Linked DNA regions of Tribolium castaneum. The protein of the gene in region 1 binds, or shares a complex with, the protein of each later gene. Links are inferred from orthologs where the notes say so. Each region holds a gene or a part of one and is shown in the gene's direction. Other genes may lie near its edges.

Region 1 (4,188 bases):
CTACAGACTGTTCAGAAAAGCAAAAAAATATCAAAATTTTGCTTGTAACCTTTGACAATAGTCCAATTTTTAAGTCCCTTAAGGCTAAATTTAAACAACTATTTTTCGAAATTTATTCGCGGTTATAAGGTTTACGGACGTTTGTAAAAGCGGCCCTAACACGTACTTTAACAGTTTGATGTCAAAGTTCTTGATAAGTTTTGAAATTTTTTAAAAGTAATCTCGATTGCATCGTAGTTATTAGTAAATTACTCAAACACAAGAGAATTACAAGTGTGCTAAAATTATTTTAAATAAAAACCCACATATCTGATATACATAACTATCACTGGAAGTTAACTGATTAAAACTACCATGTAATCATTTAAATTTATAATAATAGTAGGCTTTAATATTGATTAACTTGTATGATACTTGTAGAATACGTTTTTTCGCTTAGTTTCTAAATTAAGCAATCACAAAAAGGACAAACCTTGTTTTTTTAACAGGCATAGGCGTTATAACATTGTGTAAAACAACATAAAAGATTAAGACATAGAGGGACATGGCGAATTTGAAAACCTTGAACCATAGCAAGTCCTAAACTCCCTGCTTTCACAAAATACTAGCTTCGCAACTACAATAAATTTATTTATTATTATGATATACCTATTAATTACTGCACATTATATTTAACTCGTCTTCATGGGATTTTCAATTACATCCCAAGAACCGTTATCATCTCCAAGGACGGTCTTCATCTCCTAAGTTTGTGTGATCCTTCTTGGTGTAATATGATTATATTAATATCTAGAAATCGCAATTAATTGTTGTATAGACACCTTTCAATAACGTTTACCTTAATTTGCCTTAAGTTGATTCATCCTTCATTAAAACACTGTCATTCACACTATACACTAGATTCAAATAAAAGATCCATATAAAAGTAGAGATGTTTGATCACAAAAACATCCAAAAAATCACGTTAAATCGTTTTCTGAAGTCTTTAAAACACATTAAAACAAAATGTCGCCAAAAACCACAACGACAGCAAAATAATCGGCTGTTGATAAATCAAAGAATTAAAGAGAGAAGTGTGCGCACGTCGATTATTTTTAAGTGAACCTTCTTTACTTTTAGCAAAATGTGTGACAGATTCCTTTAAATTTACAGATTTCTTTGCAACTGACGCGACCTCTAAGCTGGAGCACACGAACTATTTTAGCCATTTCCCCCCTTTGCCCCACCCCTCCTAGTGAACACATAATTTGTATACACTTTCAGGGGCCTGTTTAAAGATGGCCGATGACAAGAATCGGTATTGAATGAAAAATCAGCGCTAATACAGCTGTAAAACTGTAAAAATAGTGATATGTAAATATTTATGTTATTGAAACTAAATGTAAATATTAGTCTGTAACTGTACTGTGATATGGCCGATGCGGAAGCGGCGGACAGAGAAATAAGGAATCAGCTCGATATAATTCAATCCATGATTGATGTTTCTGCTCAACGTTTAGAAGGGCTCCGTACACAATGTGCAACAACCGCAGAACTGACCCAGCAAGAAATCCGGACCCTGGAGGTAGGCCCCCCTAGCTCGCAACCCCATCGAACCCTTCATGTTTCAGGGCAAACTCATCAAACTCTTCTCTGACCAATTAATCAAGAAGTTGGCGCTTCGGAGCGGGGGCGCCGACCAGATCCCCTCGTTGATCCAATGGCTGCAAGTTGTGGGGCTCAGCGGCAACTCCATCCAAGGGCTGTGCCAGAAGATCTCCACCGTGGAGGAGCTCCAGGAGAAGTCCGAGCATGAGCTCAGGACCATCCTCAACGACCGTGGGGCGCGCCCCGAGGAGCTCAGTCGGCTGTGTCGCGCCCTCCACAACCTCAAACGCTACACAGGTGCTTCTTACATTTTTGTTTGGGTGGGAATTCCATTCATTTAATTTGTTGTAGATGCACTCAAACGGGGCGCCAAAGACAACTCGGACATGCACCTGTATTGGGACTCCTGGGACCGGCATCAGAACTTCAAAGTCGGGGGGCTGTCGCCGCGCACGAGCAGGACACGGGCCGCCAGGGCTTCGGTCCCGTCAGAGGAGAGTCTTTGCAACAATAATAATCGTGGAGGTGCGATCCCTCCTTCCTCCTCTGTGTCTAGCATCAATTCTCTGAATGCTGATCGGTGTGTGCTTGGGCCTCCCCTTACTCCCCCACCTCTAAAGGGGAAAGGTACGCATGACTCCGCATGGGACCCCCACTGTTTTTGGACCGTTGGTTTGACAGTTTCAATGTTTTTTAAACTAAATGTACCCGGTGGTAAAATAATTGCCACCCTACATATGTTTTTAATGCAACAAAATCAGTGTTTTCGGTTATTTGCTGACAATTTTTTTTATTTGAAACAAACTATTTTCTTGATGTTTTTTCGAACTCTAAACTATGCAGGTGTTTTAAAGATTTTCTCAATTAATGTCGTCTTTGGTAGTGATAAAGAAAACTACTAATTAAAAAATATGAGAAATAGGGTTTTTGTTTTGGTGAGAAAAATGTGTAAAAATATTTAAAGGTGTTTTTTTCCGAACACTACTCATCGAAATGTTGATTTTTATTTTTTTCTGTAATACTGGTCTGCAAAAAATTTCTTATTATTATGCATTACATTTTGATTACAGGTTGTTGAAAGTGTTAGACGTCGTTTAAATAAAAGATTCAATTAAAATTGTAGAGGTGACACATGATTCAGAACAAAAACACTAAAACTCCAGATGATGTTGGACAAAAAAAAGGCTTTTATGAAACAAATTTATGTTGTTACACGAATATCTGGGATTTGATTGTTCACAAAATTTATAAATAAAAAAAACGACTTTATGATCTAAATTATTTTGGCCTAATAGCGTCATACTTCTTGAAACGTTCAATGATTTTTTTTACCCATAAACGACTTAATTTTTTATGCTCGAAAATTTAGAATACAATGTATGTATGTGCGTACACGCAGGGTGGCTTTTAAAAACTATAAAAATAAGCAAAAATAATTTAACTTGAATTATTAGAATGTTTAGGAGTAAGTACTACATAGGTAAATTAGCGATAAGAATAACACCTAATTTTTTGAGATATAAGTATTTTAGAGAGTTTTGGTAATTAAAAAAGACATTAAAATCAACAGCAAATTTTAGAAAAATTTTGCCGGCAGCTGGAATGAGCGTCGTCGTTGCCGGCAGCGGAGGTGAATAGACATTTAATAACAAAAATTATGTTTACATAAACTTTTTTGTAATTGATTTTTTATGAAAATCGTTGGTTTTACTTAAAACTATAACTGTGAATTTAATGACTGCGATAATAATTTACAACAAATGTTATAATTCGTTCTAAAACACTAAAAATCATTAAAAAATGTATGTAGTTGCACGTTAACAATATTTTTTTGCTTCATATTTTCTGTTGAACTTTCAACCAACAAAATTGCTATAATTGACGATCTTTGGATTATTTCCTTTTGTATCGTCTCTCATTATGTGTAATATGTCTTGATGCCATCTTTCTTCACATTTATTGATACTACGGTAAGATTTTCGCTAAAGAAATCTAAGTGGGAATGATTTCCTGGTAGTTCACAGCTTTTTTATCTTTCTAGGAACTGAAATAGTTTTATAAGTACGTACAGTCACCATCAAAAATCTTGATATAAAGTAGGTCTGATCTTGTAAGATTATACAATCACCATAAACCTGATTATCCGTAGTTAGGACCATCTATTGTGCAGGTATTAAGACCCACGCACCCTTGCAATAAATTACTTTTCGAATACTGGCAAACTTTTCGAAGACGGCAAATAATTTTCCTAGTTCCTAATGTTTTTAAAATTCACAATCAGCATAAGTATCTGTTTACAAAGAAAAATAATGACTGTAAACACCGATTGCAAGTATCAGGTAACTAAATAAAATCATTGTTTATATAAAACACATTTATTTTGTGCGGACTCGAATTATTCCGTTCTGGACCCTATGACAAGGGTGGCAGTTCAAAATGTGCCTGAACAATTTACGACTGGGGTTTGTTTTTAATAGGATATCGGCTACATTTTAAACAATAGACCAATTTTATGATCACTGTATAATCTTAGGGAATCAGGGCGACTTCCGGCGAAATTTGCAAAATTATACATTAAAAAAATGTATACATTATAGCAAA
Region 2 (4,137 bases), on another chromosome or scaffold:
GAAAAAGTTGTCCAAGTTACTAAAATTTGGATTTGAAACTTCACTTCTAGTTTTGTACAAAAAATTCAAATTCCAAAAATAATTTCAGCATTAAAAAGAACAGTAAATTTTCTAAACAAAAGCCCAACTTTAAATATCTTGTTGTGCATTAGTTATAAGAATATAAGTCAAAAATAAGTCTCATATAAAAAATCATTATGTATTTAGATTAACAATCATTCTTTCTAGAAAACCAATTATTCCGAATATGACCGAATCTTAGGTTGTAAATTTTTTTTTGGTTGTCTGCTTCAAGTAAAATGCCTCAAATAATAAGAAAGGGTAAAAAAATTTTTAAAAGGTCATATGCATAGAGAATAAAAATAAAATATTTAATTGCAAACGCTGGTTTTTGTGTTTTGAACCACTACTTTTAGTAGACACCTTCTATTTTTTTTAATAATTATTATAATTTTTTAATTTTGAAACTTAAACATAAAAATATAAGCAAAAAAACACACAAGAACAAAAAATAAAGCCTTTTGTGTCAAATTATCAATCACTGCTTTATTATTTCCAATAGAAACGACATCCAAGAAAATAAAATCTTCCTGTCTAAGATTTTTTTGAAAAATGATCCATAGCAAGAGACAGGTGATTATGGTGGCATCAGGTTCTTATAAAAGAGGTTGTACTGTAGTTACCACACATGTACAGGATTAAATATTTTGTAAAGCTGGTACGAAAAATTGTAATTATGCATGACTGACTGTATCTAAACTAAATAAAACACACACTTGAATTGAACCGAATTTTTCTCACTCCTCCATTATCCCAAAATTAATTAATACAATCGAACAGGGCGGACATTTGGCTCAATTCGTGTATCTATGGTATGAATTTTTAATGTTGCGGTTTTGATGACGCTGCATACATTTATTATTCAATTTATAATACTATATCACATAAAATTCCCTTCTTTGGTACCGAATAATTACTTATCAATTATTTATCCTCTCATAAAATCTGTTCTATCACATTTTGAATATATAATTTCAGCCGGCGTTCTAGTGCCACCTTGTACCAAAAGCACCAACGATATATTAGGCACTAAAGGGTGTTGCAACTAGGAATGCGCAGTGTGGTATCGCAAACACAGGTGGCGCTATACAAGTTACGTAACAACAAAAACTGTTTTATTATTATTTTATTTATTGCAACTATTTTGCTAAGTTTATAAATAAAAATTTGTAGCAATAACAATAATAACATTGAATTATAAGAACGGTGCGAGCGCCACCCGTGTCACTCCAGCGAACTACATAATTGACTGATGTCAGATGTTTTCTTTACTTGTGTTTTTTTCTTTATTTACGTAAAAACAATAAGTGTAACATAAAAACAGTCAAAACACAACCACTGGTTACAATGTTCGCGGTTGCAGTCTCTTCGCTAAACCAAAAATAATTCTAAAAAGTTGGTAGATAATGTTGATATTTTGAGGCTTTTTATCTATGGGTGTCAACGTCCCTTCCGTTAATTAATCAGTGATACAAGTGTAATATTTGGGAGAGATGTCGAAGAACAAGCTAAACCTGACCCTCCCCCCGGGTTCGCTGGACCAAACCCCCACGGTGACCCCCACAAGTGCGCCGTTTCCGGACGCCGCAGCCCCGTAAGTGTCTTTTCCGTGCGTTTCGAAACTGGAGGGCAGTTTCAGGTCGAACAACGTCGGGGGCTCCAGCATCGACAACCTAACGGCCCGGATCGAGGGCTTGGAGATGGACGCCACGCAGAGGAGGCGCATTGAGGTGTTCCTGTGCCAGAAGGAGAAAATCGGGGGTGATTTGAGCGACGACGATTTGGAAAAACTGGGCGAGTTGGGGTCGGGGAACGGCGGCGTCGTTATTAAAGTCCGCCATAAATCCGGGCTCATCATGGCCCGGAAATTAATCCACTTGGAGGTGAAACAGGCGATCAAACTCCAGATAATTCGCGAATTGAAAGTCTTGCACGAGTGCAATTTCGCGCACATTGTGGGCTTCTACGGCGCGTTTTACAGCGATGGGGAGATCAGCATCTGTATGGAGTATATGGACGCTGGGTCTTTAGACTTAATTCTTAAAAAAGCCGGACGGATTCCCGAAAATATACTCGGGAAGATTACCGTTGCGGTTTTGAAGGGGCTGAGCTACTTGAGGGATAAACACGCGATTATGCACCGCGATGTTAAGCCCAGTAATATACTCATTAATAGTAGCGGCGAGATCAAGATTTGTGATTTTGGGGTCTCGGGACAACTTATAGACTCGATGGCGAACTCTTTCGTCGGAACGAGAAGCTACATGTCGGTAAGATATCACAAAGTGTTACAAACAAGAAAAAAGCTGTCACCAGAATAAATACTTGTCAATCTACCACCAAAATCTTATAAAACTCTTATGAAAGCTTTATTAAATTTTAATTCGTTGTTGAACGTTAACAACGCAAATACACCAATGAAATTGGTTTAATTTGGTCACGTGATCAGTTAATCACGCATTTAATTGCAGATTATCTTAATGACGCTTCTATAAACGGGTCCTTAGTTATTAAAGATGAAAAGATGTGTTAAAGTTTTTGAAAATCGACATAGTTTTGCACTAAAAAATAAAATTACATAATTGTTTTATCTCAAATTAACGTAAAACATATCGAATGTTATATTTTGTCACCCAATTAAATGAATAATTAATTATCGTAATTTATGTCGGATCAGATAAACTTTTATATTCGGAGAATAACTAGCTTTACTTAATTTCCAGACTGTAAGAATTTGTATTACTTAGGAGTAATGCACTTTTTTTAGAAAGAATACGTTTCTTACTCACTTGTTATATATATACTAAACAGAATATTATATTATTGAGATTATAAGTAAAACTTTATGGGCTAAGGTTAAGGCTGGTTAAGGCTGAGCCGTGCAATATATGCAATTTTTTCTCCAAATGTTATATAATATAATTAATGCATTTTGTCTCATAAAATTAATGGATCATTTAAGAAAATAATACAATATGTAATAATCTAAATTTCTTGTTTGGATGCCAATTCACCAAATCAAAAAAATAAATAAATAATTGCGAAATGTCTGAATGATATCTGCCGGCAAATTACGCATTGTTTGGTGAAATAGTAGTGTTTTAAGTTATTCAGAATGCGACGAATTGTACTTTTAATGTTAATTAGTAAATATTGTTATTATTAGGCTAAATTGAGTAAAATAAGCTTGCTTTTTTACAGGTTTTAAATAGTAATCATAAACAGCTAAATGAAATACGTCAAAATATCAAAATAACTCACTTTAAAGAATATGTTAGAATAAATTGAATTTTTTTTAAGTAACGTCAACTTTCGTTAAAAAATTAATTTTGTCAAATTTAGAACTAAATTAGTCTGCCAAAAGTATTGTTTTTACTTCATCTCAAAAACTAATGATCACAGAGAATTCTGAGTTTGCTATTAAATAGTTAATGGTTATTTCTATCTATAAATTTTTTTACAAGACTTAATATTAAGCCGTTGAAAAAAATAGTTTTTATACCTTAATGCAAACGGTGCTTAAATATTGTTTTGTGCAAAAATACGTAGAAAATTCACGTTATTTTGGAGCTTAACAACATTTTATTGTGAATGATATGGAATCTGAAGAACTTTGCACGCTTAGAGAAAAAATAAGGAATTAAAGCAAACGCTGATTATTATTAGTTCTTGAAATATAGGAAAAAAATTTTTCAGCAGATTCATCTTGCAAATTATCATTTACAAAATGATGATATCTGACGTTCAACGAAAAAAAAAAACATTTTTTAAATAAGTTAAACAATTTTTTAACGTAAGAACATTGTTTTTAAATAAATTTTTTGTTATAATTATTTCATGTAATATCACTGCCAGTAAGGTAACAAAACTAATGTAAACTAGGTAAGTAAAATACATGCTAAATAATTAATAACAAAAGATACGTAATAATGCTAAACATTACATTACATTACATCAACAATACTTGTTGATAAATAAGACCTTTTTGAACCTATTTTATGATGTTTTCTGTACATAAATTTTTATTTATTTAATGATTTTTTTAAATAACGTAATTTCATAGAAAATTAAAAAATA
Region 3 (3,655 bases), on another chromosome or scaffold:
TTATATTCGTTTCGCTTATGTTGTTTTCGACGTTTATAATTATTGTTTATATTATTTTTTTAAGATTTTTTTTGACTCGTCTCGACGAAAAGTTTAAAAGTTAGTAAGTTTCTGACTTTCAAATGTTCTGGCTGAAATAAAGTAATTGAGACCTGGTTTGATAACTTTCTAAACTTGTATCTAACAGAATAAGTTATAACATATTGGTAGATATGCGTTCTTTAATCATCTTTAATTTATAAAAAATGTATACAAGGAGTTTTAAAAGTAACTGTTTTTGGCATATATTTTTGGTTAGCACAGTAGTTTTTATTATTCAAACAGTAAAAACTATGTTAATATGATTGTAATTTTCGCATATTGTAGAACACGTAACTAGTACGGTTTCCGAAAGCGAGCCGTTCTCCGAAATGAAATACGAACTCGGAATCCCTATCGTGGACGCCATAAGCTTGCCACTGACCCAAACGGTGCCAGTCGTCGAAGAAATCAAAATCACTCTCACTGAAAAAACTGAAATTAAGCAAGGAATCGACGAGGATTTGCCACCAAAACCTCCGCCACGAACCTTCGGCGTTGTCGATTTTAACAAACCGGCTTATCCCATCGATTCACCTAAACCCAACATTTCGGAAAAATTGAAAGGGGATTTAGCGGCGAAATCGACCGTTTTCGAATATCTTGACACCAAACACACTTATTCGACTGAAGTAACTACGGTTTCAAAGCCACCTGAATCACCAGCTTTGCTTAAAGAGAGCAATAAATTACAAAATAAGTTTTTTGAGCCGAAGACGGCATCGACTCCGAAAAAATCGGACTTTGGCGAATCTGTGCCAAGTTTTGAGGTGCCGAAAAATATGAGTGAGAGTAAAATTTCGCCGACGAATTCGATAGTGCGTGCCATGATTTATTCCAATAAGAATAAGGCAGGGAAAAAGAAGAACACAATCACTGCAAGTAAGTATAGAATAGAATTGCACTTGTGATATTTGTGATAAAACCATGTGACGTTGAACATGTCAAAAAACAATATCAAAACGTAATCCCACTTAAGAAACAATTGCAAATACAAATTATTATAATTCCAAACTAAGATAAATTTAAACAAGACTCATGCACATTTTTTTTCTGTTGAAAGTCTTTTCGTTTTTGAAATAAAAATTATTGATAATTAGATCAAATTTTGCTGTATGTAATGGGGATTAAAAGGTAAACATGGTTACTTAAATAATGTCATTCTTATAAACACTAACAATTAATTTCCGACTATGACTGTGATCAGTAGTGCCTAATGTATATGGATAGGGGTTGATTTATTTCCATATTTTTGACCTAACAAAAAAATGTTTTCCGTACTTGCTGGATCTTTTTAATGACTTTTTTGGCAGGTTGTATTAGGACCACGCTGTATATCACAAAAACTCAATTGAGACTTTGTGAAACTCATTTAGGGTATAAAAGCATTTGATTAACAAAAAAATCAATCAATTATTATTATTCCTAAAATCTCATTGCTACAAATTATAATCAAAAATTTGATAGTTTTTACACGTAATTTATTTTTTTTCGATACAAAATTTATTATGCATAAGACAAGATAAAACAAAAATGTAGTTAATCCAATGAATTGCATTTCAAATTAAGACGTTTATATTTTTAATCGTTTCAGTTATTAATCACACAATAGGTTTTATTAACATTTTTGTTTATGAAATGTTTCAAAAAATTGGTAACCAGAATAAGTTAGAGAACGTTAGAGTAATTGATTTATGGAAATACTCTGATTAAAATTTTGACCATTACCTTGTGCAATGGTTCACTGGAAATATTTAACAACACCTAATACCACAAGAGATGACTTAAAACCAAAATTTTTTTTCAAATTGATAAATTTCCAAATAATAAATTATTTAAGTACTTGTTAAATTGTTACTGTATTTTGTATCTGTCTAATTTTTATATGTTCTTGAAATTCAAAAAGCAAGTTCCCAAAAAATAAAAATAATCTTTTTAATTTGAGTTACCCACTAATTTTTTGTAAATAAAAAATTGTATAAGATTAAGCCACTTTTTTGCTTGAAAATTTGCGAACTCAATCGTGACTTAATTATTATTTACCATTGTTTCCCATATAGTTTTACCTTTTGTCAAAGCGTCAAAAGATTGTGTCGCGATGAACTTGTAAATTGTTTTACTTCATATTTATCCAAACCAATACCTATTTCCAACAAGAAATCCTTAAACATTTAAAAAATTCAAATGTAGTTTGAAAATTCAAAAGTAGTTTACGATCTTTAATGATTTCTCAGGGGTTGGTTTTGGTCAAGGTATCGACTTTGCTCAGTAGGCGTTCGTTTATGGACTTTTTGGGCGGCTGTACATGGATTTGTTCACCCCTTGAGAAGAAATTGTATACCTGTTACCATTTATATTTTTGCATTTTGTTTACTGAATTTTGATCACTTTCTTTAGCAATTTCTAACCCTTTTAATACTAATTTCGATTTGTTTGTATTTATATTATTTATAATATTTTTTTATAATTTTCAACGCTGCTTTAGTTTTAGTATTTTTTATTATGTTTTTGGTATTTATAAAATTTTCTTTTGGTATTTAACCATTTTTGAAAGTTCTTTTTTTTGTAATTTTTTTTACATAAGCTCAATATAGTTTTTAACCGTTTATTGAGAACCGGCTTATAACGAACCTTCAGATATAACGAATTAAGATTTGACTTAAAATGTGATGCAGTTTTCCATTTATAATGAACTTGTGACCGAATTTTGAAGAATATATTGGAGTTGATAATAAAGCAATAATTGAACTGATGAACAGATTATTAAATTACTAACTGAAAATATTTTAACCAATGAGAACATATTGTATTTTTAAACATAATTACAGTATGAATTTTATATTTGTGCAAATATTTTATATTAGTAGAGCTCAAATGAAGTCAAAATAAATCAACGAATGTTTTTAGCGATTTTTTAAAAATGTAGAAGGTGCAACTTCTACATTAGCGTTGAAAGATTCTTAAAATAAAGTATTAATATTAACAGGGTTTGTTTTTTTTGAGTATTTTATTTCAAAGCTTACATTTCTAACAGGCGATGACATTTGAGGGAATGATATTGGGTGGTGGTATCTTCGCAAAAAAATTTACATTTTTATAATTTTTTTATGAGAGGACTTTTCTGTAGATGTTTTTTCTAATTTTAAGTCAATGTAATAAATTTTAAAGAACTCTGTATAAACTGAGAGATCATATTTATTTTAATTATTTGTTTGTGGTCCTTTTCAGACACTGTAAATATTTGTATAATGCAAATTGAATTATTTTCACTTCTTTTGGGCTCTGTTATAAGGTTATCACTTTTTTTACAATACTTGCATAACTATCAAATTCACACACTATGTACTTATTACTATTTTACAGAGGGTTTATGTTTTTTTAAAATACTTATTTATTTCGTTATGTAAACTAAAAAGAACTGCTAAAAATACACTTTTTTTTTAATCAACCACTTACAGAGAATCTCAGATATAACGCACTGATATTGATATACTCGTTTCTGAGTTTGTTATAATCGGACACCACAAATTGTTTTAAGTGTAGAGGGTTTTAAATGGAAAATATTTAATAAGTAAAC

Evidence for each region.
Region 2: the proteins of ksr (region 1) and Dsor1 are in contact, whole or in part, in a cryo-EM structure (PDB 8BW9), measured with the Drosophila melanogaster proteins. The link is inferred for Tribolium castaneum from reciprocal best matches to the Drosophila melanogaster genes ksr and Dsor1. Residues at the interface, in NP_001287177.1 of Drosophila melanogaster: Gln767, Tyr828, Asp830, Met831, Gly832, Leu833, Gly834, Val835, His837, Arg849, Ala850, Leu851, Gln852, Asp888, Gln889, Pro890, Ala891, Glu892, Ser893, Ile895, Trp896, Gln897, Gly899, Arg900; in NP_511098.1 of Drosophila melanogaster: Gly98, Gly99, Lys123, Asp236, Met238, Ala239, Asn240, Ser241, Phe242, Val243, Gly244, Thr245, Ser247, Met249, Arg253, Leu254, Gln255, Gly256, Ala310, Met311, Ala312, Ile313, Phe314, Leu317, Asp318, Val321.
Region 3: the proteins of ksr (region 1) and cnk are in contact, whole or in part, in a cryo-EM structure (PDB 8BW9), measured with the Drosophila melanogaster proteins. The link is inferred for Tribolium castaneum from reciprocal best matches to the Drosophila melanogaster genes ksr and cnk. Residues at the interface, in NP_001287177.1 of Drosophila melanogaster: Arg900, Gly901, Met902, Lys903, Gln904, Ser905, Leu906, Ala907, Gln910, Ser911, Gly912, Arg913, Lys916, Asp917, Met920, Tyr925, Lys945; in NP_001286524.1 of Drosophila melanogaster: Lys79, Asn80, Asn82, Gln84, Leu88, Glu183, Asn187, Ile190, Gln191, Ile193, Ser194, Asp195, Pro196, Val198, Leu199, Gln200, Pro201, His288, Thr289, Met291.

Annotation. Positions count from the first base shown.
Region 1 is NC_087399.1:8,293,474-8,297,661, forward strand, and holds the start of ksr (kinase suppressor of Ras 2), read left to right. Parts: upstream 1-1,266; 5' UTR 1,267-1,411; coding exon 1,412-1,564; intron 1,565-1,610; coding exon 1,611-1,884; intron 1,885-1,938; coding exon 1,939-2,214; intron 2,215-4,188.
Region 2 is NC_087403.1:8,130,403-8,134,539, forward strand, and holds the start of Dsor1 (dual specificity mitogen-activated protein kinase kinase dSOR1), read left to right. Parts: upstream 1-1,191; 5' UTR 1,192-1,553; coding exon 1,554-1,654; intron 1,655-1,699; coding exon 1,700-2,330; intron 2,331-4,137. UniProt on the Drosophila melanogaster protein: Required downstream of Raf in the sevenless (sev), torso (tor), and Drosophila EGF receptor homolog (DER) signal transduction pathways.
Region 3 is NC_087398.1:13,503,701-13,507,355, reverse strand, and holds part of cnk (uncharacterized protein cnk), read left to right. Parts: intron 1-366; coding exon 367-960; intron 961-3,655.